Danio rerio: one gene and its partners. The protein of the gene in region 2 binds, or shares a complex with, the protein of the main gene of each other region. Links are inferred from orthologs where the notes say so. Each region holds a gene or a part of one and is shown on either strand. Other genes may lie near its edges.

The links.
Region 1: zgc:171971 (region 2) and polr3c share a complex: the UniProt entries of both Homo sapiens proteins name them as parts of the RNA polymerase III complex. The link is inferred for Danio rerio from reciprocal best matches to the Homo sapiens genes POLR3D and POLR3C.
Region 3: zgc:171971 (region 2) and polr3k share a complex: the UniProt entries of both Homo sapiens proteins name them as parts of the RNA polymerase III complex. The link is inferred for Danio rerio from reciprocal best matches to the Homo sapiens genes POLR3D and POLR3K.
Region 4: zgc:171971 (region 2) and crcp share a complex: the UniProt entries of both Homo sapiens proteins name them as parts of the RNA polymerase III complex. The link is inferred for Danio rerio from reciprocal best matches to the Homo sapiens genes POLR3D and CRCP.

The regions. Positions count from the first base shown.
Region 1 is NC_133191.1:14,588,745-14,597,202, reverse strand, and holds the start of polr3c (DNA-directed RNA polymerase III subunit RPC3), read right to left. Parts: upstream 4,319-8,458; 5' UTR 4,226-4,318; intron 2,793-4,225; coding exon 2,646-2,792; intron 1-2,645. Other genes in the region: rnf115a (E3 ubiquitin-protein ligase RNF115), read left to right, coding at 4,903-5,100, 6,128-6,186. UniProt on the Homo sapiens protein: DNA-dependent RNA polymerase catalyzes the transcription of DNA into RNA using the four ribonucleoside triphosphates as substrates.
Region 2 is NC_133187.1:7,833,011-7,841,313, forward strand, and holds the start of zgc:171971 (uncharacterized protein), read right to left. Parts: upstream 5,465-8,303; 5' UTR 5,411-5,464; coding exon of another isoform or gene 5,406-5,410; 5' UTR 5,382-5,405; intron 5,099-5,381; coding exon of another isoform or gene 5,098-5,098; coding exon 4,924-5,097; intron 2,757-4,923; coding exon 2,710-2,756; intron 808-2,709; coding exon 628-807; intron 1-627. Other genes in the region: zgc:110716 (uncharacterized protein LOC550248), read left to right, coding at 7,122-7,314. UniProt on the Homo sapiens protein: DNA-dependent RNA polymerase catalyzes the transcription of DNA into RNA using the four ribonucleoside triphosphates as substrates.
Region 3 is NC_133178.1:45,544,332-45,552,775, reverse strand, and holds polr3k (DNA-directed RNA polymerase III subunit RPC10), read right to left. Parts: upstream 4,485-8,444; 5' UTR 4,360-4,484; coding exon 4,249-4,359; intron 2,488-4,248; coding exon 2,400-2,487; intron 790-2,399; coding exon 662-789; 3' UTR 449-661; downstream 1-448. Other genes in the region: snrnp25 (U11/U12 small nuclear ribonucleoprotein 25 kDa protein), read left to right, coding at 4,904-5,095, 5,872-5,962, 6,112-6,217, 6,832-6,906, 6,984-7,041. UniProt on the Homo sapiens protein: Core component of RNA polymerase III (Pol III) which synthesizes small non-coding RNAs using the four ribonucleoside triphosphates as substrates. Can mediate Pol I proofreading of the nascent RNA transcript.
Region 4 is NC_133196.1:33,902,467-33,909,260, reverse strand, and holds part of crcp (DNA-directed RNA polymerase III subunit RPC9), read left to right. Parts: intron 1-276; 5' UTR 277-289; coding exon of another isoform or gene 290-308; coding exon 309-326; intron 327-416; coding exon 417-515; intron 516-3,248; coding exon 3,249-3,343; intron 3,344-3,659; coding exon 3,660-3,717; intron 3,718-6,794. UniProt on the Homo sapiens protein: DNA-dependent RNA polymerase catalyzes the transcription of DNA into RNA using the four ribonucleoside triphosphates as substrates.

The DNA of each region.
Region 1 (8,458 bases), on a different chromosome or scaffold from region 2:
TCTTTTGTACATCCGAATGAACGTGAAACTGAGCGCAACATGCACGAGCACAAAACCCTTCCCTGCCTCCTCCCCCGTATGAATATGCTAATGACTATACTTTGGCAAAACCCAACGAAAAAGCAATGGCTAGCAAGCCAAAAGAGAAACCTTTTACAGAATGTGAATTGGAGGTGCTGCTTTCGGAGGTAGACCGGAAAAAAGCGGTGTTATTTGCAAGTTTGTTCTCCGGAATTGACAACAAAAGAAAAAAATATAGTGGGAGAGTTTAGCTAATGCGGCTAACACAATTGGGTCTGAACATCGCACCGAGTGAAATAAAAAAGAAATAGTGTGATTTATAGGTGTAAAATGTTGCAGTACCTACAACAGTCTCAGTGGCGCAGTTCGTAAAACGCAGGTTAACATGTTTTGACACGTTCGAGCATGAACTCGGTTCGAATCCAGCGTCTGATGAACTCTTTCTTCTTTTTTCCCCCGCTACATATCAGATTATCACGAGAAAGACAAGTGGGAATCATTAATAAGTTTGTGAATCATATTTTATTTGCACATTTATTGAATGGAAATGTTTCTGATTCACGCATGCGAATTCATCTTCAGATAGTGTCTTTATAGCAATGTGTGTGCAGTAGATAGCTCAGATTACATTGGGAAAACAGGCGACCGCTGCAAATTGTGCTTTGATGTTTAGCTGGTCAACTGTATGGTATGGAAACCATATACCTGCTAGATGAACCTGTCTCATACAGCTGCCATTGCAAGGCTCAGACACTTTGTAGAGAGGAATTTAACACAACTGCCTCTAGGAGTCGCCAATGGAAATAAAACAGACACGCACAAAAAATGTGCGTACGCCAGCCATAATGCTAGCGTGGTGCTGCGCACATTCCCACGTTCAGTTCATCGTTAGTAAATCCAAACGTGAGCGATTCTGAGCGTGAAACCTGGCGTACGCAAAGTTTTTGTGCGTACGCAGCGTTGATACATGAGGCCCCAGATCTGTGTCTGATTTAAGACTACATATGAGAGTGGTACAAATCTAACCTGAAAAAAATCTGATTCCATGCAGTTTGGGCTGTTTACACTGTCATTACTCGAGTCACATGTGGGCAAATTAAATCTGAACTGGTCCACATTTGGCTGCAGTGTGAACGTGGCCTAGACTGCTTTAAAAGGTCATTTTTCCAATATTTAAATTTGTTTTTAAGATCCCATATTATGGATTTTTGAAAATGTCCTTCCATGTAGCGTGTAACACAGCTCTAAGTGAAGTGAAATATCCAGCTAAGGCTTAAAACTGTAAGTGTACAGTGTTTAAAACTGTTGATTCATCTATAAAAGAGTCGACTCACAGTGCTTCAAACGAGTCGTCTTGATAAAGAGGCATTAGGTGTATCGCCATGACGTAATAACGAAACCAAGTAGTTGCACGCACAAACTTGTGAGATTTGAAACCTGCGGCCCCGCCCTCTAACACAGCAAAAGCCACACACACACACACAAACATGGCAGTCGATTGAAGTCAGACTGCAGACGGAAATTATTGAGTCTCTACCCAAAGATGAAACCTCAGCATTAGCCCGGCATTGAGCAGTTGGAAACTACTGGAAACTACATGCTACAAAGAATACTTCATCGGTCGTTTGTTAAAGAAAGGATCAGTAAAGACTGCTGATGGACATGCCAGGACATGGATCGGTTTCTTCCTCCATTTCTTAAGTGTAAGTACGTGCGATTAAAGTTGTTGCCTCGTTTACTCTAGCTTGCAAATGTATTTAGTTATGATTTGTTACTTATAACCGCTTGTACTGTATCAGGTTAACTCGCTATATTCTCGTATCGTGTGCAAAGCCACGTTAAAAAATGTGACGCGTGCCGCTTTGTTTGCGGACCTCTGTGGAGGAGGGTAATGTGTGTGTGTGTGTGCGCGTTGTCGTCCGGAGGAGGATTATGTGTGTGTGTGTGTGTGTGTGTGTGTGTGTGTGTGTGTGTGTGTGTGTGTGTGTGTGTGTGTGTGTGTGTGTGAAAAGAGCAGAGTGTGACAAGCTAGGAGATCTCCTCGCCAATTCTTGGAGTTTTTGCTCAATAAAATAGTTAGTCGTTGGTATTTTCAAGTCCATCGCCTGTATTTACATTCACCCACTGGCAGCTAAAATCCACACCTTACAATATGAAGTGTGTATGCACTGTGACTACTTCTATATTGTTGATTAGCTGCTGGGCATTTCACTGTCTCTCGCTGAAGGTAGTCAGTGTCGACCAATCGCAACAGACTGTCATCGGTCCAATCAGCGCAGATTAGTTTCAAGCTAAGGAGGGGTTTGGGAACAAATGAATCACTGGACGATTCATATGGTAGTCGCTGGGATAATTATGTAAAAATAAATGCAAATTATAAGACCATGAAAGTGTTTTTTGACCTTGCATGCATATTAGACTGTTGTTGGAGACCCTTACAGCCCTATTTCATGTATAATATGGGCTCTTAAAAAATATAAACATTTCAGATTCCAATTTTTTTTTTTAATAGTTTTATTCTGTTTGGATTTTGGAAACAATGGATATCCTATCCTAACAAACCACACATCCAAGAGAATCTTATTTTTTAAGCTATCAAAGAAAGCTTTAAATAGTGACATTACCAGGTCAAGAGCCAGTTTGGTCTCATGGGCAAGAGCTCTCAAGGTCAGAACTCCATTGCGGATGAGATGAGTGCCCACATTTTCCACCACATCACCAAAGTGCTCCTGCAGCAACAGCCCACACAGACGCACCTCCTGTGCTGTCATCTGTAGGACAGAGAGCAACAATCAAATCACAATCTGTAGTCAATTTATCTATGAATAATGTATAATTCTTTTTAGACATGTCAACTTGCAAACTAGTGTTGGTTGGTTTTTTTGCTCTAATTGCACAATTAGTTTTTTTCCAGCCTATTCTTGTTTCAGACTTGCACACAAAACGCATTGCAATCAATTTCCAAAATGTCACTTGTGGGAAAATATTACAAAGCCTGGGATTTTAACAGAGACCAGAGATGCTGAGAATGGATAACAAGACAGAACAGCACACAATATGCTGAACCAGGCAAAGTAAGATTTTTGTAAGGATCTCAGATTTTTGTTCTTTATTAAAAACACTTTACAAATGTACAAACCTTGTCATTGTCCTCAGCCAAATTGAACGTTCAGGTTTAATAATTTTGTGATGCTAAAAACTGTTATTTAGAAAAAAGAAAAACTTCAGAAATAGCAAGTTTAAGTTGCTATCATACACGTAAACTGATTAAAAACATGAAATTATAAAGTCTACAAATAATTACTACAAATATATATTACAAATACTTTTACAATTGTCCCCATGTTTCTGTCAGTCCTGTCACATTTGCCTTAAATTTAACATAAAATGTGTGCTATACACCTTTAAGGCTATGACTTGGAAGTGGCATCATTTGATGGGGAAGCAGACATCAAGGATACATTCTATCATTAAACTGTTTTATTTTTTATTTTAATTATTTATTTATTTATTTATTTTTTTGAGGAAGACAAGCTTAAAGGTCAGGCCCTGTCATTTATTTTATAAATAAAAATGTATGTTTCTGGTAGAATGTCTCATATATTTGGAAATCATTAAATCTAATTTGTACAGAGCACCTTTGTATATGCCTCATATGTAGTTTTCTATAGGTCAGCAACTAAAAAGGCAAATCAAATATTGTTCATGCACTTGATGTTCTTGTTCAGTCACTTAATGTAATCATTTTTCAATGTGTGCATACAGTTGTCAACATTTAGTGAATCAACTTTGATGAATATGTTGACTAATATGTTATCAGTTATTAATGTTTACATACATGATTTCGTGTTATTTATGGTCTACCCACATTTCCTTATTAATAAAACTGCTCACAATTTTAATATTACAGTTTTCCTCCTTAATCTGTAACGTTTACCTGTAACCATCAAAAATACATGTAAAGTCTTGTAACTATACATGGAGTTACTAGAAACACAAGCTACACAAGCTATAACTAAAAGCATCAGTTTAAAAACAAAACATTTTGTCAACAAAGTGCAAAAGTAAACATTCATATTTGCGTTTTGACTGGCTACTAACACTGGATTAGCGCAGAATTAGTTGTTGTCTGGCCTTTCCACAAAGCAAACATCTCACAAAGGCTAAACAAAGCACAGATGCACATGCTTAAAGACAAACTTACCTCTAAAAAGTAAGTTATCTAGATATCCGTATGTGTTATTTAGATGAGTTCACACTTTTTGATCTCACGTGTGTTGTCCAGACGGTGTGCAACGACAAGCACTGACGAATTTCCGTGGTTTGATCACGTGGAGGCGGAGCTCTGGTGTGTGAAGCTTGAGTGAATCGCTATCATGAACGGAATCTTTTTGCGGATCAAAAGAACCGAATGAATAATGAAAAATGAATCACTGTTTACTCACACTCGGGTGTTTTTTATGAAATTACTTTTTTTTATTTGAATAAACAAAAGGGTATTTTGAAAAAAAAAATGTTAGGAAATATCAGTTTCAGGAAAAAATACTATTTAAGTAGTTTTTGTTTTGTTTGTCAGAAGTCAAACAGGTTTGTAGGTAGAAGAATATTTTTTTGGAGTGAACTACAATTATCAGAGTAAAGTTCAATTAGGTGAATTACATGCTAACATATAATATTAGACTGACATAATAGCATATATAATAATATGTAATGGTCTTTTTTTGTTTTAATTTTACATTGTTCTCGAATAAAGCCCTCTCTGATCCCTGTAATACTAGTAAAACGCACACTTCACACAGCCTTATGTAAATAATTTTGACTCAGTATGTTGTTTTGATCAGCTCAGTCAAACGACTCCCCTGAGTGAGTCGACTCGCCTCAATGACTCGCACTACTGAGTGCTCATTGCCAAAGCACCTCCCTCTGCAGTGGGCGGACCGACGCTCGGCCAGCGCTGCTGCTGCTGTTGCTGTTTGGGACACAGGCAGTCTCACAGAAAACATGGCGGAGGCTGCTGCGGTCCCTCCGCATCGCTTCTTCTGTCACTGTTGTAAGGGTGAAGTGAGTCCCAAACTACCGGTGAGTCCGTGTCGCTGGTAGCGCGCAGCCGGCTCAAGTTAATGTCTTTCTGTAGTTCTGCTGTCGCTCTCGCAGGTTCCGCTGTTGTGCTAAAGTTAGCATGTTAGCAGTGTATCAGCCTGATGTGGGCGAAAGGCCTGTCGTGGTTTGTTGTTTGTGTATAAACACTAAAAAACACATGTATTTACCGATGACCGGTTTTATTAGATGTTAGACAGGTGCTTGTTAACGTAACATAAGCGGAAACCAACAGGTTTTGTGTTTAGCACCAATGCTACACTCATTTCTTGTGTTTTTGTACTGTAAATGATGACTTTTTCACATTTCACGACATGTTCAGTTTTGATAAGTGTTCAGTTATTAATGTCAGCTTTTAGAAACTTTCAGAAATGTCCTTAAATCACATCGACACTGAACTCTTCTCAGAAGTGAAACCGGAGTGCTAATGTTTCTGTTTCTGTTTTACTTGTTTATAATGTCGCATTTGCCGTAAATTATATCACAAATTCTGCAATGAACGTCAACATTTAGCACTTGGTGGTCAGTGTGTCAGTAGGTCATTAGATTGTCCCGGTGAGGATGAGTAGTGTGTATTGTTAAACACATGTTTGCTACCCATTTTGTTTAGTAAGTTAAACCCCTTGACATGATTCAAAACTGGTTCATACTGTATAAGGTATGAATAAAGCAGAATAATAGTCCACATGCCGATATAAGCAGCAACTGTGCTTCTTTTGCTGGAGACCGACAGGATGGCCTGTCTTGACCTGTTTAATCCAAAAAAGAAGAAAAAAAAAAATAGGGAAGAAGCCTCTTGAATCAGCCAGCAATTGTTGTGACACACTTCATAGGGAGTGTCTGGACTCATACAAGACTATTTGTTTTAAAATTCAAATGAACAAACATGTGTAGTACTATGCAAATGCATGTCCTCATAATGCCGCAGCTATCTGTATGTTTATTTACACTGTCCGGCTTTTCTGTGTTATATTGTGATTGTGATTTTTTTTGTTTTGCTTGCTTGCAGGAGTATATCTGTCCCAGATGTGACTCTGGCTTCATCGAGGAGGTTACAGAAGACTCCAGGTGAGCTGCACTTCCTTATTCGATTGTTTCCATTGGCATGTTGTAACTCCTGCTCTTTCGGTGCTTTCTGGAGTATGTAAATAAACTGATTGGTAGCACCACCAAACGGCCTGATAAATAAAAGACGCGAGCATGGGTTGAAAGCAACTCCTTGATAATGTTATGTTGTGTTAAATAAATCCAGTCAATGTCATAGATCATTCGTAGTTTGTGCTGACAGTGGGGCTTTGATTTGATTATATCGCATTGCATTTCATTTAAGCTTAGTTTTTGTTTTGTCAGAGATGTTATTTAGATCTGTGGTTCACAGTGCTTGTGATGCTGTAGCACATAGGGGTAAAGTTGGCTTTATATTCGCACGTTCATTCATTTAGCATTCTCTATAGAGCAGGGATGTCAAACTCAATTCCTGGAGGGCCGCAGCCCTGCACAGTGTAGTTCCAACCCTAATTAAACACACCTGATCAAACTAATTGAGTCCTTCAGGCTTGTTTGAAACCTACAGGTAAGTAGGGTTGGAACTAAACTGTGCAGGACTGCGGCCCTTCAGGAATTTAGTTTGACATCCCTGCTATAGAGTTTACCATGTTACTTTGAATATTCAATTGGAATTAACATGCCACTATGACTTCTAAACAACATTAACACTATCTAATTGACTGTGAACAATGCTGTACTTTGATAGTCATTTGCTGCTAATATGATTTCCCTTATTAGAATTAGCATAGAAGACTTCTCTGAAATTAAATTATTAAGGAGAAAGTCTATAGCACTGCACATTGTGGAAGTCTCCTCTTTTTACCTCACTTTATCGATTATCATTAGGCCTTTAAAGTTGATAGTTCAGTTAAAATTATGTCATCGTTTACTCACTCTGCACTTGTTCCGAAATACTCTTCAGGATATCTAATTTTGTGTTCAGCCGAACAAATAAACTTATAAATGTTTAGAAACAGTAGAAGCAATTGAGGGCGTTTTCAAACGTTTAAATTTGATTTACCAAAGTCAGACAAGTACTATTTTCAGACCTGTAACACCAGAACAAAGAGATGTCACATCCATAATAAAGCTTTTTCCTCATAAGTGGGAAAAATGTCAAATAAAATGAAATCAATCATGCTTGTTTTATAGTGAGGCAGCTCTTATCCTTTTGATAAGCATTATTTCATTTGGGTTGTGTAGTTTAATTCACAGAATTTCTACAAAGTATGTTGTATACTGTAAACACACAAACTTTTTTATTCACATCCATAACGCATGTTCATTTTCCCTAGGCTGAACAATAAACTGTTTTAGCATCGATGTGTGCATGTGTCTTAAATTTTAGTCCAAAAATCTGCATTTCAAAGTAACATTATTACAAAAACAAAAAAATTTGCTTACCCCACTGGCAGATAGTTGTGCTTGTTTTAAAGGAAAAAACTCTTCATTGTGACTTATTTATTCTGAAGGTAAAAACAAGACAATAGTTTTACTTGCGTTAAGGATTTTTTGATATTTGGACTAGAAAGGAGACAAAGTCAGAACAGCATTTTTTTGCATCGTGATTTTTCAATTTCTGCACCTGAATACTTTTAGACTCCACAGGAAACCCTCAAATTGTGCTATTCGAAATATCTTGTGAAACTATTCATATCCCAATATTTATTGCAGAAAAATTAAATATCGCTATATCAGATATTTTTAATATATAATAAGTATATTTTAACACTTTTCTGACCCCATAATTCTGTGGTTCGTTTTTTGGAAAACAAACAGATGTTTATATAATGTTAACATGTACTTTGTGAATTTATGTTTTGAGATTTTAAATTCATTCATTAAAATAGACATGCAGACTTAATATTTTATATATAAAAAAAACTGTCAAACATTTTGCTTAGTATCTTATTACTTGGCTTTGTAATGTTGATTAAAAAAAAAATATGTATCATCTTTCTTTAGTGTTGGTCTAACCATTTATTTGAAATGTAATATAACACTTTGTATACATAGTAAGAAATGAAGTATGATTTAAATGTTTAAATATTATCATTTTGTAAAACATTTGTTTAAAAAATGAGGACTTATGTGGATTATTCAGGATCGACCTGGAATGGCAATTCTTTACACTAATGTCTACTAGTTAAACCACTGACTAACAATAAGCTATTTATTTGATACAATGTTGATCAGTCTTCATTAATGGCAATTAATAAACATACACAACTGTTCATTGTTAATATGTTAGCTTGGTCCAATAAATAGTATTTATTAATTCATTTTTTTCATC
Region 2 (8,303 bases):
TTATTGACTGAGCTTGACAATACAAAAGAAGGCTTTGCTTCAGCAGAATAAACAAGTGGTTGAGGTTTGCTATAAAGTAAATGCTGCTTTACCCGAGTATAATGCTTTTTCACAGTATACAAATTTTTCACAGTATTTCCTATCATATTTTGTCTTCAGTAGAAAGTCTTTTTTCTTATTAGTCTTATGAAGCTGAATACTAGTATCTTGAAAAATATCTAGTCAAATATTATGTGTTGTCATCATGGCAAACGTAAAATAAATCAGTCATTAGAAATGACTTATTTAAACTATTATGTTTAGAAATGTGTTGAAAAAATCTCATTTTCCATTTAGCAGAAATTATGGAAAAATTATAAAGGGGGCTAATAATTCAGAAGGCCTAATAGTTGTGACAACTGTATATCCCACTTTAATTATTCATCTAGACAGTTGGCATTTAAACTGCAGTATAAATATATACAAATGTTTAAATTAATTAAAACTCATGACACAATACTCATATTTAACATAGTACATATATCTTTAGACTTCTACTGTGCAAGCTAAGTGTAATGAAATATTCATTTGATGTTGTATAATGGAAAACAAAAACCAAAGGGAAAAAAAATCAGACATATGGAACACTTTATCACATCACCATTACATGCTTTACCTAGTTTCCTATAGGTGTCAGCAGGGCCCTGCTCAAAGATAGAGTGAGACTGAATGGTCTGAGGCTTTTCTCGTCGCTGTCGTCTCTCTCTGTGTCTGTCTTCCCTGTCTCTTCTCTCTTTTTTTGGTGCACTGTGAGGCTCCTCCTGTAACCTCCACAAAACAGTTTCAATTCAGAGTGATTTACACCACAAACAAATGAGTAATACCTGCTATTAAAATGCATTTAGGTGGTCCTGCTAAAATTAAAAACAAGTGTTAACTGACAATAATATGGAATATATGGGAGGATGTTAAGTATTGCGATAATGATATTTCTTGCAAAATAACATTTCCCTAGAGACATGGTTTTATTTATTTTCCATCTTTTAAGATTATTTATTTTTTTGTAATGATCTTACTAAAATAAACTGGCAATAAGATATTTTTCTGATCTGACTGGATCTAATTCAGGCAAACAATAAAAATAATAAATAATATAAATAATAATAATAATAATAATAATAATATATCAGTGAATTTATCTAGATTTCTATGTATATTCAGTGCTCAACATAAACAAGTACACCCCTCTCAAATCTCTCATTTAAATTATTATTTGCTATAGGAAGTTTTAAAATATTATATTTGTGCATATACATTAAATTAGTCAGTAATGAAGCTTAATATGGAGCTAATCTAACCAAATAACTTATGATAACGGTCCAAAAATAGTACACCCAAATTTATATGTTAGAGAAAAAATGTATTTAAAAAATAAATAAAAAGAGCAAAAAAAGAAAAAGAAAAAAAATAATAGATTATTATTTTTTTATTTTGTCGTTTGTAATTTCCTTTCCAATATTTAGCATTATTTTTAATGTATTATCTTTCTATTTCTAATGCTGTTCGGCAACTAAAATATTATTTTAATAAATATATCTGTTTAATAAATCTGTTTTGTTTAAATGCATCAAAACACATGACCTATATTCACTGAGAAATTGATAAAAATATTCATTTTCAAAACGAAGTGTATATATTTATGTTGAGCACTGTATATAACATACATTTCCCTTTATTAGGTACACCTTTCCAACTGCTCGGAAGCGCAAATTTCTGATCAGCCAATCGCATGGCAGCAACTCAATGCATTTAGGCATGTAGACATGGTGCCACTCCTGTCAGCTAAAAAATTTGGACAAAAGATGATTGGAAAATGTTGTCTGGTCCGATGAGTCTCAATTTCAGCTGCAACATTCGGATGGTCGGGTCAGTATTTGGCATCAACAACATGAAAGCCTCTTGTTACAAGCGTCCTACCTAGTAACAAAGGTTCAGGCTGGTGATGCTGGTGTAATGGTGTGGGGGATATTTTCTTGGCACACTATGAGCTCATTAGTATCAATTGAGCATTGTGTCAACGCCACAGCCTACTTGAGTATTGTTGCTGACCATGTCCATCCCTTTATGACCACAGTGTACCCATCTTCTGATGGCTACTTTCAGCAGAATAACTTGCCTTGTCATTAAGTGCAAATCATCTCAGGCTGGTTTCTTGAACATGACAATGAGTTCACTGTACTCGAATGACCTCCACAGTCACCAGATCTCAATCCAATAGAGCACCTTTGGGATGTGGGGGAACGGGAGATTCACATCATGGATGTGCAGCCAACAAATATGCACCAACTGCATGATGCCATCATGTCAATATGGACCAAAATCTCTGAGGAATATTTCCAGAATCTATGCCACGAAGGATTAAGGCAGTTCTGAAGGCAAAAGGGAGTCCAATCCAGTCCTAGTAAGGTGTACCTAATAAAGTGGCCAGTGAGTGTATATATATATCCATCCGTGTGTGTATAGCATTATTAATGTATTTAAATATTTATAGTTATGCAATTTAGCCATATTTACAAGGCATATTCTAACTCCCAACCCCAGAACACAGTTTGCTGCTTTGACAAAATCTCCATTATAAAAAGCCCTATCAAAATGAAGAAGAATTATATTGAGCACGAGTACTACAAATACCAAACAAAGCAATAGAATGAGATCTTTAAAAATACTTACTCATCTTTACTTTTGCGAACGGAGTGAACATTTGGAACAAAGGTTTTCTGCAAGGGAAATAAAAACACAGCGAGTCAATTAATAATTGCTTGGTTCATTATTAAAGTAACACTCATATTTATTACACATGACCAGATAGTAATTAGACTAAAATTCTAATAAACTGACAAGTATAAACATAGTATGAGGCATTGACATGATGACCTAATTTGATGTCTGCATTAAAAACAATTTACAAAAAATTTAATTTAATTTAATATTAAAAAGAATATTCAATGTAATGAAGTGTCTATAATTTGATGTCTCAGACTTTAGAGAAAGTAAAATGTCAAGAATATGGGTAAAATAATATTATTCTAGTGTAATTTAAAGTAACAGGTGCATTCATGTAAATTTAACCTGCATTTATTAGATAGATAGATAGATAGATAGATCATGTTATCATGTTATGTGATCATGTTAAATTGTATTATACAAATATATCCTAATGGTTATGGTTTTAAAAAAATGCGCTGCACATTTACATTTTCTTCATAATTTTCTCCAAAGCAGGTTTGAAACCATGTTTTTATTGTAAAAAAGCACAATGCAAGTAACATAAGTTAAAGGAATAGTTCACTGAATATTTTAAATGTAATAATGAACTCACCCACAAACCATTATACATTTCTTTCTTCAATTAAACAAAATTTGATATTTTGAATATGTTGAAAACCTGTAACCATTGACCACCATAGTAGGAAAAACAAATACTAAGAAAATCACTGGTTACAATGTGGTAAAGTTAGTTTTATTTTCGCACATTCTGACTTTCTCCTTAATAATATAATTTCAAACAAGTATTATTGTTTTATTAATGTTGTATCACAATTATACAACATTGTCCACAGCCAAATAAATAGTGCTAATGTTGTTTTGAAGTTACATGTGATTTCAGTCCTAATATTCCTGATAAAGTACTATGGTAAACAATACTAAGGTAAAGTTGATTTTGTATTCGCACGATTGTTCAGTTTTTAACAGCGACAACTTGTGACACGCTCCCTGTATTGTTCAACAAGCTACTTTGACTATTCAGTCTGAAATAGCATGTAAGGATGTCTTCAAAACAACATTGGCACTATTTAACTGACTTTAGTTGTTAATGTTTCCCTTTGACAGTTGTTGGCTGCTAATATTAATTCATTATTTAGAATTTGCAAACAATACTTTTCTCTAGTTATATTATTAAGGAGAAAGCATGAATGTGTGAATATAAAACTAACTTAACCAAGTTACCGTAAACGATATAGTGAGCATTAGGCATGGGACAATAACCGTTTTCGAGGTGTACTGCGGTTTGGAAAAATCAAGGTTTTAAAACTGCCGAAATCTTTTGCTATACCGTTTCCTAAGGTATGTATTTGTTTGTTTTTTTTATTTATATTTTAATTATTATTTATTTTATCTCGTTTTTTTTTTATTTTTTTTTGTTTTGTTTTTTTTTAGGACAAATCTCCGACAACAAAAACATATCTAAAGGTGCTACTTTAAATTGTAAAGAAATTTGAGTTTTTGAAACTAATGAAGACAGCAGAAGTCAAAGACTTGTTTTAATTATTTACTGTAGCCTGACATGTTTACTGTTGGAAAATATTTAAAATGTTTCTCAAAGTAAATTTTTTGTATTTAAAGTGGAAAAAAAGTTTGTTTTTTACCCAGAGATTTAAAAAGAATATATTTTAGAGAAGTAATCACAATACTGTGAAACCGTGATATTTTTTATCCAAGGTTATCATCCCGTCAGAATCTTGTATCGGCCCATGCCTAATGATCATATCACAAGTTCTGAATGAACGAGCGAATACAAAACCAAATTTAAAATCTCAATAATAGTTACAGGTTTCCAGCATTTTTCATAATTATTTATTTTGTGTTTAAGGTAAGGTAAGGTAAAACTTTATTGTCCCAGTTAGGGAAATTTGTCTTGTGATGACTGCAGCTGAGGGCAAGAGCCCAAACATGGACAAAACAATAAACATCCAAAACACAAACAAGTAATTCAATAAATTCAACACAAGACAGAAACGAATAACGTTAAAGGTTTGAAACAAGGAAAGAGTAAGTAAATGATGACAGAATTTTTATTTTTTTGCGTGAACTATCCCTTTAAACCAATCTTTTGTCTTTGTTAAAGATTAAAAACAGCATTAAAAAGGTATTAGAATGAGTAACCTTTTTAAATCCTCCCAGGGTCAGGTCTCTGGACCGCAGGGAGGTCAGTCTGCCTGGTGGAGGAGGATTGTGTGAAATTCTCCCTGGCAGTCCTTTAACGTTGCCCAGAGCAAAAGACGGTCTGAAAGTGGAAGATGAGCTCGCCTCCGCGTCCCCATCTCCATGATCACACATCCTGCCAAACACACAAACAACAAACCCTACTGAGCAGCGTGCAATATGTGATTACTCAGACTCAAACAAAGGTGAAAACCTTAATTTTCCAAGAGAAACGCTCGTTCAAAATACACTAAATGTGCGCTGACTTGGATTTCAAGACGCGCGCGCCTCCATTTTGTTAGCAACCTATGCTATCAAAACAAAGCCTTTCATAGCACTTTATGACATTTAGACGGACATATTTAAAAATGCTGCGCACGGCTGCATTAGAGATAAGTGAAAATAAATACTATACGTACTTGAAATTTGTGTAAACTGCTCACATCATATCTGCCGAACTCTTCCAGCTGACAGCTACATCCTTGCAGGAGCATCATTGGTCACGTGACACGAGCCCTCTGTTAGGAAAAGATTACTCAGACATTTTATATTATATTATATTATATTATATTATATTATATTATATTATATTATATTATATTATATATCATTTTTTAATATTTACATATTATTATTTTATATATCATCTATATTATATTTTATTTTATATTATTATATCATTTTATATTATATTTATCACAATAACAAATTTTTTAATAAAAATAAATAAAATATATTTAAAGTTTTTATTTGTCCATTTAGTCTTATGGTGTCATCATGATGGTTTTGTTAATAAACTCTCAATTAATAAAATATTAATAAACTTTTAACTTAAAAAAAATTATAAGTGCTGTATATTAAATAATAATGAACTAATTTTAAATATTTTGTTTTTAACGGTTATTTTATCTGAACAATAAATAAACATTTTGTTTCAAATCTATTTACATATATATTTATAGCTATTTTTATAAATATCATATTGTATTAGGCCTATATAATGATATACTATAATAACTCTGGACTGTATTTCATAAATACTCTTTAAAATTGTAAATGGTAAATTTTAATTTAATGCACAAACATTTTAAACATATTTATTTATAGTTTTAATTTAATGCACAAACATTTTAAACATATTTATTTAAAGTTTATTTCATTCCTTTTATATGGTCTCTTTTGTGTCATAAAATGGTTTATTATCGGACTGAATTTTAAAACTACTGTCTATGAAATTTCGTGTTTTGTGTAAAATATACTCAATATTTGTACAATACATTTATTTTGAATATTATGCATTAACAAGTATAAAATAAAACTAAAATGAAAAGGTGAAAAATAAAAACATATTTTATAAAAAACTGTTGTAAAAGTAACCACTTCAGTAAGTTTTGGGACACAGACCCCTTCCATCCACCCTTCTTCTAACTCATATTGAACAAAGGGCGGCACTCAACTTTTGGCTGCCCTCACTTTTTTATTCCTATTTATATTATATTATATTATATTATATTATATTATATTATATTATATTATATTATATTATATTATATTATATTATATATTTTGCTAGCAGAGAGCTTATCATTCCTGTTAGAAAAAGATATAATAATATAATATAATATCTAGTTTTTCACAATAATGAATAAATATTGTTCATTAAAATAATGTAAATACATTTAAAGTTTATATTTGTGCAATTTGCAACTAATGTTTCTGAAATAATTTATATAGTTTTGTTTTTTGTAAAATATATTCAATATTTGTAAAATATATTTCTATTTAATAATTTAAATAATACACAATTAATTATAAAATAATAAACAAATTTTTTAATTTAATTTATACACTGGTATTGCCCCAAAAAAACTCTCGAAATGTTACTTAAGAGTCAGACTTATCAACATCATATTTATGGCGTAACAGGAGCTGAACGGTGTCAAGTGGGCACTTTAATAAGTTTTGGGACACAGACCCCTTCCATCCACCCTTCTGGCTCATATTGAACAAAGGGCGGCGCTCAACTTTTGCCTGCCTCACTTTATACTCCTCCGGTCGGTCAGAGTAACTCACACAGAGCCCGCGATGACTGGCGCTCACTCTCCGCGGGAATGATCTGATTTGAGGCTGCGGAGAGTCAGCGGTGCTCTGTGAAAGTCATGGCCGCTCAGTGCGAACCATTAAGCGGATACTTACAGCAGTCTGACCCGGGCTCCAACAGCGAGCGCAGCACCGACTCCCCGCTGCCCGTGTCTGAGGATGACTCCAGCGGACCCACGGCGCCTCCGGACCCCGAGTGGACCGAGGAGAGGTTCCGAGTGGACCGAAAAAAACTGGAGATCATGTTATTAGGTAAAAACCGTTGTTTCCACGACTTCACTAGCCATTTTAGGAGTGTTTAAAAGTAAAGCTCAAAGATTAGTTCTTTAAAATGTACAATTGTGTTTAATAATCGTGCACAAAACAGTTTGAACAAACTAATATCCTATTATTAAAGCATCTTCAAAGCTGATGTTCAGCTTCTCCTTTGTTCGTCTCCTACTGATAATCATTTTTCCATACAACTTTTTAAAAAAAGTTTTAATTTCTCTTCTAGAAAAGTTTGAACAACTTTCATAACTTTTTTAAAGTATATAAAAGAGTTAGGGGGGAAATAAAGCAAGAAAACAAGTATTCAGACTCCCTCTGAGATCTGTTTGTTTTGAATAAAGTTTGCATATAATCTAGCTATATCTTAATTTCTCCCCCCCAAAAAAAGTGATCTTTATTTTTAGGTTTCAAGTTCCTGGATACATTTTCAAACACATAATTTAATATTGTAATGGTATAACAGTTAATTATATATTTCTAAGATATTCAAATACTGTGATATTATGTTTAAGTCAGTTCAGTTTCTCTTAAACATTGTAGTGATGGTTAAAATATATTTTAAGATATGTTTTTTTTTTATATAATTTATTTTTAAATTATTATGTATTGTGATATTATTTAAAGTCGGTTTAGTGAAAACCCCCTATTTTGTCCCATTCCTGATGTAGGTAAAAATCTCAACCAATAGGGGACAGTGTTAAAGCATCTCAGATTTTGACATTGGTCTTGATTGCTTGATTGTTGAGTTTCCTCAATTTGCTGAAGTAATTTTACAATGGCAATGTGTCCAGTTGCATTATAAAATCAGAGGATCTAATTGAAATGTAATTTCTGGCTTATTATTTTCATGATATGTAGCTTTGACAATATAAAAACTAAGTCTAGAACTGATTTAAAATAAAATCATATTGCCTTTAAATTAAGAAGCACTTTTCCAACTCATCTTTTACCATTTATTATAGCTATTATTA
Region 3 (8,444 bases), on a different chromosome or scaffold from region 2:
AAATTCATAAAAATCAGAATTTTCAATTTTGGTTGAACTATCCCTTCAAAACTCACATTAAATCAAATTTCAAAACCTCCACCAATATAAAGTGAAAAAAGACCTCATCCATACATCCACTGTAACCACATGCCGTCTGTCTGACTACTGAACGATAATCTCCAGTAAATATGTATGCATGTTCATGAGGTTTACTTGCACAACCCAGGCTGGCTCCCTTTAATCAAATACGCTCTCGACTTGTAAGTCTACTTGCTTTGTGAAGTGACTTGACGCTGTTTTCCGACAGAGTAGATGTCAAGCTTGTCTTATGGGAATGCAGCTGTAGATAAATGCCTTGAGAATAGTCTGTGGCTCTACAGCAGATGCTGTGCTCAACCCAAGTCTCAAATGTGTATGTTTAACAAAACGTATGGACTCATTTGAACAAATAAAAACACAAACTGGATCAAATATGAGCATCTGTTTTATTACTTTCACACATAAACACCAAAAAAGGCAAGTGAATGATCTGGTTATTGCACACAACCTAATTTTACAAAGCTTCTAGATGAGGGAAATAACGTTTAAAGAGCATCTGAGGGTTTTAATTTACACAAATGATGATGGGGTTCCAACAATTCAATACATTATTCTAATATTTCCCAAACAAAGTCTAGATTTAGTCTCTCCATCGATGGCCACACTGTATATTGCAGCATTTGTAGAAGGTTGTCATTGGTTCATCGGCAGACCTGGTTTGAATCTGCATGAAATAAGCCCTTGGGTGCTCACATTTTGGACAGGGTTCTTCAAGAAACGAAGAAAAAAATAGAGAAGAATGTTAAGCATCAAATTAAACCAGGAAAACTGTCTTTTATTACATGTAGATACATTTTTATTATGGTGGCTTGAGAAAGACAACATACTGTTATACTTTTCCTTCTTCTTCTGAGACTAATTTCTTTATGTATCTCCTCCTAATCCGTTCAAGCTACAAACACCAAATTAACTCCAAACTGGTCTGACTTGAGTTGCTATATCTTTTCCAACTAATGCGATTCACGGTTTTCCAAAAACTGACCCAGAGAATTCGGAAAAGTCCCATTGACTTAACATTGGACCAAACTTTGTAATCTTATATCTTTGCGCCAGAGTGTCATACAGATTTAAGGTTGGGCTCATTTAACCCAGACTACCAATTTTGCCAATCACTGATGACCTTTCAACTTACTAGCAGCACTCTAGCAACCACTTACAGCACCCTAGCAAGTAGCAACTGTCCCATAGACTTCCATTATAAAAAAAAAAAAAAAAAAAAAAAAAACACTGCCATTGACTTTACATTGAATATAATCCACACTAGAAACATACTGCCAACATACAAATCTATACTATTAACATACCAAGCCACACTAGAAACATACTAACAACACACAAATCTATACTAAAAACATACCAAGCCACACTAGAAACATACTAACAACACACAAATCTATACTAAAAACATACCAAGCCACACTAGAAACATAGTAAAGACACACCAATCCATACTAATAACATACTAAAAATATACTAATCCACACTAGAAACATACTAACAATATACCAATCCATGGAAGAAACATAACAAACATACTCCAAATATACCAATCCATACTAAAAACATACTAACAATATACCAATTAATACAAGAAACATAAACCACACTAGAAACACACTAAAGGACACACCAATCCATACTAGATACATACTAACAAACATACTAAAAATATATTAATCCACATTTGAAACATAGTAATAATATACCAATCCATGGAAGAAAAACATAACATACTCCAAATATACCAATCCATACTAGAAACATAATAAACCACATTAAAAAACAAACCAAGGCCACACCAATTCATACCATAAAACATAATAAAAATATACTAATCCATACTAGAAACATACAAACAATATACCAATCTATACTAGAAACATACTAACGGACACACCAATCCATACTAAAACATACTAAAAATATACTAACCCACACTAAAACATACTAACAATATACCAATCTATACTAGAGACATAAACCACACTAGAAACATACTAAGGACACACAAATCCATACTAGAAACATACTAACAAACATACTAATAATATACCAATCCAGACTAGAAACATACTATAATAATCTAATCCACACTAGAAACATACTAACCATATACCAATCTATACTAAAACATACCAATCCATACTAGATACATGCTGACCTATATGTAGTTATCAATCTATGCCGACTGTTTCAAAATTCTTAAAAACTATTTCAATTAATTAAACTTTAAAACTACTTCAAACTTTCAGACTAGTCTCAGTCAATCCACCATAAGTTTGTGAGCAAACTTTACTTTTCAAGTTTCATTTGTTTACCTGCAGTGGAATCCACATTTTCCCAAGCAGCAGATCCTCCAAGAACATCATCAACCTCCTTCAGTTTGGGGTACTTTCTGTTGTTTACCTGTTAAAGCACATAAACAGGTTTGTTTTCCTATTTTTTTATCAGGTCAATGATACTGTCTATGCCTGACCATAAACCTAACCCTCATAGAAACAAGCTTCAATTGTTAGATACTAATAAAAACAAGGATGGTTCAAGGTGATTTATAAGTGTTTTTAATTTTACTGCAAGTTGCTGAGACTTATTTTAGTATGTTGAAGGACCTCAAACTGAAACTGCATATTGAGTAGGGGGCGGGGCTTTCTTTTTGCACATCATTCCCTCATCAACTAAAGGTAAGAGGGGCGTGGTTAGGAATATTGTGGATGCATCTGCCAAACTGACATCATCAGAGAAGGACTGCCACTCCAAACGCCAGAGCAAATGGTCAGACTTTGAAGATTATCAGAACAAAGATTTTTTTTTTCGGTGAATTAGCTTGCATGGATTTATCATTTACCTAAAGAATAGCATTGTGTGCTTGTAAAATAAACACTGTAAATTTGGATTTCACACAGACTTTAAAGAATATATATGCGGAATGTTGAAAAAAACTATCAATGACATAAATAGCAAAAATACTATGACAAGTGGCTCTTCTTTAATATGTCACTGTATAAATACAGTTGTTACCAGTGTCTAAAACAGCGTCATTTTGAATTCTAATCAGAGTTTGAAATTGACTTTTTCACTTAACAGCCAATTACATTTACAGACCAACTAAGCATTGAAAACTTGTATGTGTTTTGGCCATTTGTTTGCACAACAGCATTTTGGGGGATGCAAAAATGAGTTTTTAAGAGCTATCTTTTAAAAACAATGTCAGTAGTTTATAGAGGTGATTTATTTATCCAGGTTTTGTGTTATGATTCTGAAGTTAGTATTGTCATGTGCTATAATTGCATCTGTGTCTTTAAGACGGGAAACAGGTGGCATGATGGGAAGTTTTGTAATGTTACGGAGTTCATAGACACAAGAGAAGTAAAGAGTGGTGGTAAAATGTTAACCTGCGTGTGGCACTGTGGCTGATTTAATTCAGAAGTATGTGCAATTTATGAATGAACATTTGATGATAAGACACACATACATAAGTATCTATGAAGTGACATCAAATATAAACTTTTAAGTATCCAGATGTTTATCCACCTGAAGCTATAACAATATTTCTAAAAAATTTCTAAAATATTTTTAATTCCTACGTTTTCAAGATAATATAAACGAAGTTCTTGGTTTATTAAGTACATTGAGTAAGTTTATATCTTCTGTTAAACAAAAGAAGATATTTTGAAGAATGTTGCTGGGATCCATTGACTTCAATCAACTCTTATTTCCTACTATGGTAGAAAATGGGTGCCAGCATTATTCAAAATATCTTTTAATGAGAATTTATTCTAAAACTGTAAATTTTATACATAAATATAATAACGTGATGAAATAAAGAGCATTTTAAAGTACAATACAATCTTATAATCATTTAACCATTTCATTTAAGTAACTACTCAGTAACCCAGCGTTATTTATCATGCTCTGAAAGCAATGTTTGATAGAACATAAACACTCCCTCACTCAAATCTATTTTTGTTATATAATTTGTAATGTTAGAAACATTGATCTCATCAGATGTTCCTCACACGTTCTCATATTATCGAATCAAGTCATTTCTTTCGTTTCATTCGAATCGAACTTTTAAATGTCGGCGTTCCGTCGAACTTTAATGCGTTCGAATCAAACGTTCCAAACGCTTATTAGATACAAATTTCCATAACCGGTGTTATGCATTACCTTCCTCGTGATGTTGTGCACATATGGACATGTGTTACACGCGAATCTAAAGCATCGCTGTCCTTCTTCCACGATTAACACATTCCCACATGTCGGACAAAACAGGAGCATTTTCAAACAGTCATAGATTATGTTACGTAGTAAATACAGTTATAGTTTCTTTCTGATGCAACTGAAGTTGGTATTTACACACAGTCCTTTCTAAGTCGCTACAGGAAGCACATGACAATCAATGTGCCTCTGTATTATTGGCTCGCCATAAAACGAAATATAGACAAGGATGAACACTGTTTCTGTTGTATATATTAAACTTAAATATATATGAAAATGTCAACGAATATATTAATGCTGATTAAAAAATATTTTAATAGAAGATTGTTATTGTAATAAAGAATGTGAATCATAAAAAACCTATGCGGAACTAAAGTCGGGTGCATCACTGAAATATTCCGACAGCGTGTTTATAAAAATGAAATGTAAAAAGAAATGCTGGAACGGCTCAAATTGTTAAAGTTACAATTTTTAATACAATAAGCTTCTGCAAAAGGCGTACAGTTTTTTTACGAAATTGTAGTTATGTTAACTATTAACGCTTAGTGACTTTTTTATAAGTCTTGGATTTCTATACCCTCAAAACAAGACGTTTGAAGATAAAATGGACGAAATAAAGGACGAAACCGAGCTCAAAAAAGAGTTAGAGGAGAAAACTGTGGAAGATGAAATAAAAGAGGAGCACGAAGAGGAAGAAGACGAGGAGGCTCTTCCACACTCAGAAATTCTGGACATCTTTGAAGAAGGGCTGGCTCTCATAGTGCAGGACCCGCTTCTGTGTGACCTGCCCATTCAGGTGTACATGCAGTCAAGGGGCTGTTTTAAACGGACAATTCACCCAGATATTAAAATGTTCGGTTAATTGACATCCCAAGATTCTGTTCTTAAGTAGAACAGAAAATACGTTTTTTTTTTAAGTTGAGAACTATGTTTTCCTATGTACGTTATCTATATAATGGTGGTCAAGAAGCGCCATCACTTTGAGTTTAATATATTTAAAATCTTCCTCAGAGCTGTTTGTCCAGGTTGTGAATAGCTGATAATGTAGTTGTAAATACTAGAGGGTAATAGTTCCAGCTTAAAATCTTCTATATTCTACAGATTTTTTTTCAACAGTTTCTTCTCCTCTGTGTCAGTATAATGCTCACATTTATGTGCCGCGTTTGGTTGCACCTCTGACTTGCTTATTACCTCAAATGTGTCTGTGAATTGTTTCAAACTAAGGAAGTCATAGTCAGTACATAAGTGCACACCACTCGTGAACACATGCAATACACTGAGGAGAAGAAACTGTTGAGTAAAGTAGTTATTTTTGTTTTATGTGCACACAGATGTATTCTCGTAGCTTGATAATATTCTGATTGAGCCACTGTAGGCATATGATCTGTTTTGATGATGATTAATTTGTATTGTTCAGGACTTTGAACAAATTGGAAACCATTGCTGTCTAGGGAGAATGAGGGAACTCTCAGATTTCATGAACCAACCATTTAATTTACCAGTCCTAAATAAACTGTTTATTTGAATGCATTAATTATTAATCCTATATTTCTGAACCTTTGAATTTTTCAGGTCACACTGGAGGAGGTAAACTCTCAGGTGGCTCTGGAATATGGCCAGGCTATGACTGTTCGGGTTTGTAAGGCGGATGGAGAAGTCATGCGTAAGTTTTCTTATTTAATATGTCTTTGCCAGATTCCCAGTGACCCATGAGATCTTGATCTGGGAAACAGCATATGTTTCTTGACATGTTTTTTTTTTAAATGGTTGTTATTTATTAATTGATTCTGACTGGAGCCCATCTCTCCACAGCTATTGTGGTTGTGCAGTCTGCAACTGTTCTGGATCTCAAGAAAGCCATTCGCAGATATATGGAGCTGAAGCAACAGCGAGAAGGAGGTGTCAAGCACGTCAGCTGGTGAGACGTGAGAAAAATATGAAGAGTTCAGATGCAAAATCTCCAAGTGCCATCTAGAATTTTCTTTTACAATGAGCATTTTTCTCAGTCTCTTCTCTTTATGTTCAGTGATTTCATGTTATAATCGATGGAAATAAGCTATTCTTTGCCATAAATTTAAAATTACTTAATCAAGACATAGGAGCCTGAGAAAAATGCTAATATTAGAAGGAAATTTCAGATGGCACTTAGAGGTTTTTGCATCTGAACTCTTCATGGCAGTGAAAATAAGTAAATTAGAGAAAACCTCATGCGGGCTTGAATATTACAGAAGTAATGTAATCTGCCTCACTCAGATTTTTAAGGAATTTAAGTCATGACTATATCATGCTAGTACGTATACTTAATTTTTTTTTTAAACATTTTTAAAAAAATATGGGCTCATTTAATACGCCTAAAAATTTTTTTTGCTCCTGTTAGTATAACTTCAGACCTTTGTTGTTGTACTTTTGTTGTATTTATTTAATCATATTTGTATTTATTTATATTTGTATTTATTTAGATTCGTTTTGTTTGTTAAATGTTGTATTTTTTGTTTGTTTTATTTCGATTTTTTGTCTGTCTTTTTTCTTCAGGAAATATGTGTGGAGGACATTTCATCTAGTTTTCAATGGGGAAAAATTAGAGGATGACAGAAGAAAACTGAAGGAGTGAGTCCAAATCTTGCATTGCGGAAGTATTTTTCTTTTTTTGTGGTTAAGCATGATTGTGTTTCTTCTGTCCTCAGCTACGGGGTCAGGAACAGAGATGAAGTGACATTTTCAAAGAAACTGAGGAAGAAATGAACAGCTGCCACGTTTTTGGGCTAAAGTTGTAAATAGCAGAGAAATGTCAACGACAATTTCCAAAACAGAGAAAATGTTGCATAGTTTTTTTGTTTGTTTTGGCCCAAAATGTTTTATAAAAGGTCAGTTCACCCCAAACAGACACTTTAGTCATCGTGTCATTCTAAAACCATTAGTTCTTTTAATCATCTTTGGAGGACAAACCAAGTTTTTAATGAAATCTGATAAATTTCTGTCCCTTAAATGAAATATGTGTGTGCTTTTTTGTTTGTTTGTTTGTTTGTTTGTTTGTTTGTTTTTATTTGAATTGTTTAATACAAGTCTTCTGAAGAGACAATCTCTTTAAACAATGACAAAGTAATTTTTTTTTTAATAAACAACAGTTTTATGAGTTTGGAAGGATGCGAGAATAAGTAAATGATAATTGATTTTTGGGTGGCACAGTGGCTTGGTGGTTTGCATTGTCACCTCACAGCAAGAAGGTTGCTGGTTTGAGTCTTGGCTGGGCCAGTTGGAATTTCTGTGTGGAGTTTGCATGTTCTTCCTTTGTTCGCGTGGGTTTCTTTTGGGTGCTCCGGTTTCCCCCAGAGTACAAAGACATGCGCTTTTTTCCGGGCTGCTTGTTATTGGAAAAAAATAAATATTGGGATATAAAAATAATTTTATTAGATTACTTTATTTGGAAATAATTTCTAATTTTATATTGATTGGAATAAGCAGCGTAAAACATACAAAATTATGCTATATATATATATATATATATATATATATATATATATATATATATATATATATATATATATATATATATATATATATATATATATATGTATATATATATATATATATGTATAACAGTTGAAGTCAGAATTATCAGCCCCTCTGAATTATTAGGCCGCTTGTTTATTTTTTCCCCAATTTCTGTTTAACGGAGAGAAGATTTTCTGAACACATTTCTAAACATAATAGTTTTAATAACTCGTTTCTAATAACTGATTTATTTTATCTTTGTCATGATGAGAGTACATAATATTTTACCAGATATTTTTCATGACACTTCTAGACAGCTTAAAGTTAACTAGGTTAACTAGGCAGGATATGGTAATTAGGCAAATTATTGTATAACAGTGGTTTGTTCTGTAGACAGCTTATATAGCTTAAAGGGCTAATAATTTTGTCCTTATTTTTATTCCTGTAATATCTATGCTTTATTATATATAATAATAATAATAATTAATTTCATTAAATAATTAGGCAATTCATGTTCATTAAAGTAACAAACTCTAGAAATACATCCAAATTAAATTCTTTCACATTATTAGATTTGACTTTACAAATCACATGCTCTAAACTGTTTTGGTCAATTATAATCCCAGTTTGACATTCCAGATGTGCGATGTGAC
Region 4 (6,794 bases), on a different chromosome or scaffold from region 2:
AATGGATTTAGTGTGTCTCTGACTAGTTTTGCTTGTAAATACAAACTCTAAACAGTGATCTAACAGTGTTAAATCAAAATTTAAGAATCAAATTTTTAAGAGATGACAATACATTAGTAATTTTAGAAACTGAACAAAAATAAACGTTGTTAATCTTTTATATTAAAAACGGTAAATGTTGAAATATTTTTTACTGTACCTTCTGCACATTGTACTCATTTATTAATTTCCGGTTACTGTACATGATTTAAAGTAAACTAATAATAATATTAATAGTATTCTTTTGTAGGAGGGATGCCAATGCTGCTATGCTGAGCAATTATGAGGTCAGTATGAATTTTAAAACTTTCGAATAAAAAAACAAAAAGTGTACTTTTTATTGTTTGTGGCTATAGAAGTGTTCTCTACTCCACCAGGTCTATCAGCTGCTGACAGACCTGAAAGAAAAAAGAAAGGAGATGGTTAAAAATAAGCACAGCACCGGGCAGCAGAATCTCAACACCATCATGTATGAGGTGCTTGTTTTTTGATGTGATCTAACAAACATCTCCAGATGCAGCAAAACAGGCTATCTCCTTGAATGTGACAGAATGTTTAATTCCTCCTGAGGACTTGAAACCCACAGTCCATTTGTTCATAAACGAAACATGGCAAAGAGAATGGGACAACTGCATAAATAATAAATTGCATGAAATTAACCCGAAAATAAATGAAAGACGTTTAGCAAATTATAATTTTCAGACTAGGCATGATCAGATGGCCTACACCAGATGTGGAATTGGAGGATTGGATTTTAAGTTGACACATTTATATTTACTGAAAAAAGAAGCACTACGTAAATGTAATTACTGCCAGGCTGCTCTTACCATAAAACATGTTTTGTTGGAATGTAGAAGTTTAAATTCCATTAGACAAAATTATTTTAAAGAGGGTACTTCAGTGGACACTTTTAAAAAGGTACCATCAGGAAGAGTTTTAAATTATTAATTAAAAAATTAACTGAAAAATCATATTTGACTTTGAATATTTTTTTTGTGTGAATTTTTTTGTATTTATATTTTTTATATTCGTGTAAGTAACTTTTTTTATTGTAATACGAATTCGTTTTTTCATGTAATATTTTATGAATATCCATTTTGCCACGAAATAGCCATAAGTTGCTGATGTGGCAATAAATAATAAATTAATAAATAAACAAACACCTCCAAATTGGACTAGGTGATATGACAAATCATGTATAATGATATGTCATCTCATATATTGATAACGATATATATCTTACTATATAGTAACATTTCTAAAATTCAATTCATTAATAGTTTGTATTGACCACATGTAAAAGACTTTATCTAGATTTATTTTTTTTTACAATTTAAAGTACATACTCAGAGATATACTCGTATGTGATCATATTCCTCCCTTTATTTAGAATTTCAGGGCAAATATTTGATTGAGAAGGTATAAATATAAAGCACATATTAATAAAGTATATAAAACACTTTTCAAAAACCAATGATTACAGGTCCAACATTGCTAAATAATGTAAACATTGTACTTTCAAGATTGCAACTTTCTTATGATGCAGGGATGATCTGGTCAACACGCATATACAAGTATTACTGTTAACTCCACAAAATAAACTATATATATATATATATATGTGTGTGTATATGTGTGTATATGTGTGTATATGTGTGTGTGTGTGTGTGTGTGTGTGTGTGTGTATATGTGTACACACACACACAGGGGTTGGACAATGAAATTGAAACTCCTGGTTTTAGATTAATTTATAATTCATTAGTATGGTGTAGGGCAGGGATGTCAAACTCAATTCCTGGAGGGCCGCAGCCCTGCACAGTTTAGTTCCAACCCTGCTCCAACACACTTACCTGTAGGTTTTAAACAAGCCTGAAGGACTTAATTAGTTTGATCAGGTGTGTTTAATTAGGGTTGGAACTAAACTGTACAGGGCTGCGGCCCACCAGGAATTGAGTTTGACATCCCTGGTCTAGGGCCTCCTTTTGCAGCCCAGCCAATACAGCATCAATTGGTCTTGGAAATGACAGATACAAGTCCTGCACAGTGGCCAAAGGGATTTAAGCCATTCTTCTTGCAGAATAGTGGCCAGGTTACTTTGTAATGCTGGTGGGGAAAATGTTTTCTACCTTGCTCCCCCAAAACACTCCAGAGTGGCTCAATAATATTTAGATCTGGTGAATGTGCAGGCCATGAGAGATGTTCAACGTTACTTTCATGTTCATCAAACCACTCTGTCACCAGTCTTGCTGTGAGTCTTGTTGCATAATCATCCTGATACACGACACTGGCTTCAGGAGTGCACATGGTCCTCCAGAATATTTTGGTAGTCCTAGGCAGCGACATTCCCACTTAGCATAAGTATTGGGCCTAGAGAATGCCATGATATTGCAGCCCAAACCGTCACTGATCCACCCTCACGCTTCACTCTTGGTGGTACGCTTATTTGGGGCTTCTCCACACCGTAACTCTTTCCATGTGGAATAGACAGGGAATGTGGACTCATCAAGGAACAATACATCTTTCACATTGTCCACAAACCAAGATTTTTGCTGCTGGCACCATTGAAACCGATGTTTGGCATTTGCGTGAGTGACCAAAGGTTGGGCTATATCAGCTCGGTCATGTATATTGACCCTGTGGAGCTCCCGACAAACAGTTTTGTAGAAAGAGGATAGTTGAGGTGCACGTTTAATTCTGCAGCGAGTTGGGCAGCTGTGGTTCTATGTATTTTTGGATACAATCCAGGTTAGCACCCTGACATCCCTTTCAGACAGCTCTTGCATCCACAGTTACTACTGTTGGATGTGATTCATCCTTTTTGGTGGTATGCTAACATTACTCAGGAGACCGTGGCTCTTGATACATCACAACTTGCTGTCTTGGTCAGAGATACGCCAGCGAGACGCACACCAATTTGTCCTCTTTTGAACTCCAAAATGTCACCCATAATGTTGTGTGCATTTAAAACTTTTTAAGCAAAACCGTGCTTTTACTCTCCTAATTACACCTTCACACTCTGCTCTTACTGGTGGAATGCATAATCACCTGCCATGAAACCTCCAACACTAAATTGGCCAATGTTTTAGTTTCATTGTCCAACCCCTGTACAAATTGTCATATTGCACAGCCTTATCTCCAAAACAAGGCAAAGATTTGAGATTGTGTTGCTCAGTCATGCCCTTTAACGTCTGAAATCTCTGCCTCAACAGACCCTGAAGTACCTCTCTAAGACGCCATGTGTTCATCAGAAACCAGAGACAGTGAAGGAGTTCCTCACCGCCATGCTGCCTCACAAACTTACTAAGTACTTTTTATTTTTTCTCTTATTTTGTAAGCATGCATTTAAAACTTGTGCACTGAATCACCTCTTTGAAAGGAAAAACCTTAAAGCCTCAAACTGTGTGAAAGCCACAGTAAATACAGTGCATTGCAGTGACTTTGTAATTCTGGGTTTGAGATGCACCATTGTGAAGGTTTGTGTTGTGATGTTTCTGAAACCAGTACACGTGTGAGTTGCTGGTTTTGCACTTGACAATGAGTCTAGTGTTAGTTTATCAGATTTTTTATTTTAGCTTGTGAAAAAAGCAGCCTGTTAACTTCTTTTCTATTTCTGTTCAAAGAGCAGAGAAGCTGCAGCTCTTAAACCACAGACCTCAGACTGCTGTTGAGATCCAGCTGGTATGAGTCTTCACATCTTTTTTTCATACACTTTGTCTTTAACATCTTTGCCCATTTTTGACAATGCTAAGTATGTTCAAAATGTTAAACCCTTTAACTGCCCCACCAAGAAACAAAAATGTGTATTGCATTACCTAACTCCTAATGTCGCTAGTTAACATACTCAATGCGAATTTTTTTTTCAACACATGCCATGACGTGTCGGTTTATGGTAAAAGTACTGCAATTAATGCATATACTATGAAAAAGCTAAAACTATGAAGTGTACATTTTTGAAAACTAAATCATCTTCATTTTTAAGGTATGCCATGAAATATTTCAGATTCTCATTTAACATGTTTTTTTTGTTTTTTTTACAATAAAACCTAAATGAAGTGAAGTAGTGCAACAGGATTGTTTGTTTGATATTTTTTTTTTGTAAAAAAAAAAAAAAACATTCTTTACTTAAACAGTCAATAATATGTGGCCATTTTGTCGAGCAGGCAATTAAAGAGTTGAGAAATGATAGTGTCCCATAAATGTTTTTTTCTTCTTCAAAAATTACCTTTAACATATTGTTTAAAGTAGCTGTTTGTGAATGTAATAGATCTGCAATTTTTTAAACACATTAAACTAAGTCTATGGTTAACTATGGTCACCTTAAAGAAATAATTCAGAAATGCCAAAGTAAGCATCAGCAATGCACAGGGACTTTTTTAAATAATTATTTTGGTTGGTTTTTACCTTTTATTGAGATAGGATAGTAAAGGACAGACAGGAAACGATTGGGTTCAGACAGAGGGAAGGATCAGCATAGGACCCCTAGCTAGGAGTCGAACTCAGGTCGCTGTGAGCACTATTGTGCCATATGTTGGTATACTTAACCACTAAGCAATTGGCGCTGAATTGCACAGGGAATTTTCAATAAGCCAGCTCAAGCCCTTCCCAGCAAGCATTTTTTCATTCTAAAAGATGTCTAATAGATGTCTAAACATTGTCGTCTTGGCTAAAACAAGGCTAAATTTGGGCTGTCAGTGAAAATCTTATAGAAGTCTAAAAATAGCTCAAAACTAAACTAGTCGTCAAATAGACAGAAATGAATGACTACACATATATAGTCTGTCTATTTGACGACTAGTCTAGTTTTGAACTATTCTTAGATGTCTATTTTGTTTGCATGTTCTCCCCGTGTTCGCGTGAGTTTCCTCTTTGTGCTCCAGTTTCCCCCACAGTCCAAAGAGATGCGGTACAGGTGAATTGGGTTGGCTAAATTGTCCGTAGTGTATGGGTGTGAATGATTGTGTATGGTTGTTTCCCAGAGATGGGTAGCAGATGGAAGGGCATTTGCTGTGTAAAACATATGCTGGATAAGTTGGCAGTTCATTCCGCTGTGGCGACTAAGCCGAAAAAGAAAATGAATTAAGAGAGTTTGTGCACAACGAATTATGAAGTTTTGAGGTGTAACAAAGATTTATTTTATTTAATATTTATACAATTTATGCAAAAAAAAAGAGAAGTTTTTCCTAAGTTTTCCGAAAACATGATTATTTTACCTTCCCCATTTTCAGATAATTTCACTTGTTTTGAGGAAAAACTAATAATTTTCACCTAATTTTTCTAAAGGTGAAAACAAATACATTTTTCACTTGATCTAAGATTTTTTAGATATTTGGACTAGAAACGAAACAAAGCAAAGGAAGAAAAAAAAAAAAGATTATTCATTTTTTTGTACTTAAATATCATCTTGTGAAACTGTACTCAAATCACAATATGTATCATAGAAAAATAAAACATTGCAATATCTTATATATAAATATTTTTCTGATATCATGATGCAGCCCTGAAACCTACTGTGGAAAACCTTCAAAACTACATCAGAACCCTTTAAAATAGTGTGAATTAAGGCTTTTTAATCCATTTAATAGGAAAGTGACCATGACTGATGTTTATAATTGAACTGAATGTTTCTATTTCAAATGTTTGCATGCATTTTATATCTATTATATTTTAACAAACAAATCAACAGCACAAGTGATTATCAAGATGTGTTAAAGGGCCATGAAACCCCCCTCTTTCGGTTCATGTCTACCACCGAATTTTTTCATAAAATGCTTTGTGATGGGCGTGGAGCGCTGCGAGCAGAGGGAGGGATGGTGTGGCCGGCATAGAAGGGAAGAAAGAGGCGAGCGAACAGCTGTCAGTTGGCTCACAAAATGAGATGCACACCATGAGGAGGCGCATGATTTATAGTTTTATATTTTCCCATAGGATAAGAAAACTCAGCTACGAATAAAAATAAGAAACCGACGTGTCATCACTCCACTAGCAGATTCACGCTACGTCGCTGATTTTGATCCCGCCCCAAAAATGATTTTAAACCCAGAAGATAAAATTAGCTGACAAAAGCTTCAAATTATCCAGTTTTCCCCTCAGTTAAAGCTAACAGGTGCTAACGTTGTCTTAACTGATGGTCAACTTACACAAATCTGTTTCATCTGATCTGTTACACAAATCAAATTTCAGAACAGAACACAGTTATGGTATTTTTGATTTGATGAAAGCAGTGTTGATGAGCAAAAGATACTTTTTCTTTAGAAAAGTACAGGACAAAAAATGGTCATGCAAATGGCATAGTAAAAATAGTCTCTACAAACTAGTCTGACAATTATATTAACCAACTAAGAAACTGAAGATGTAAATTTGAAGAAAAACAGGATTTATTAATTACTGCTCAAAGCCTGTGGTACATTTATAAAAATATATATATATATATATATATATTAATAGTATTGATGAATAAACAAATAAAAAAAAAAACACTTACTGAGTCTTATGGAGTGTGAGAGTCTGAAGGGACAAAGATGGATTTCTGAACAGCCAACAAAAACTGGATGTTATTTGTATGACATCTCTATGAACTTAACTTAGGCAAGGCAAGTTTATTTATATAGCACATTTCATACACAGTGGCAATTCAAAGTGCTTTACATAAACAGGAATAAAAGATAATAAAGACTGATAATAAAAATGATTAAAAACAGATGAAAACAGACCAAATGTGTTAAAACAAGTTATAAATGTGTTATAAAACAATGAAA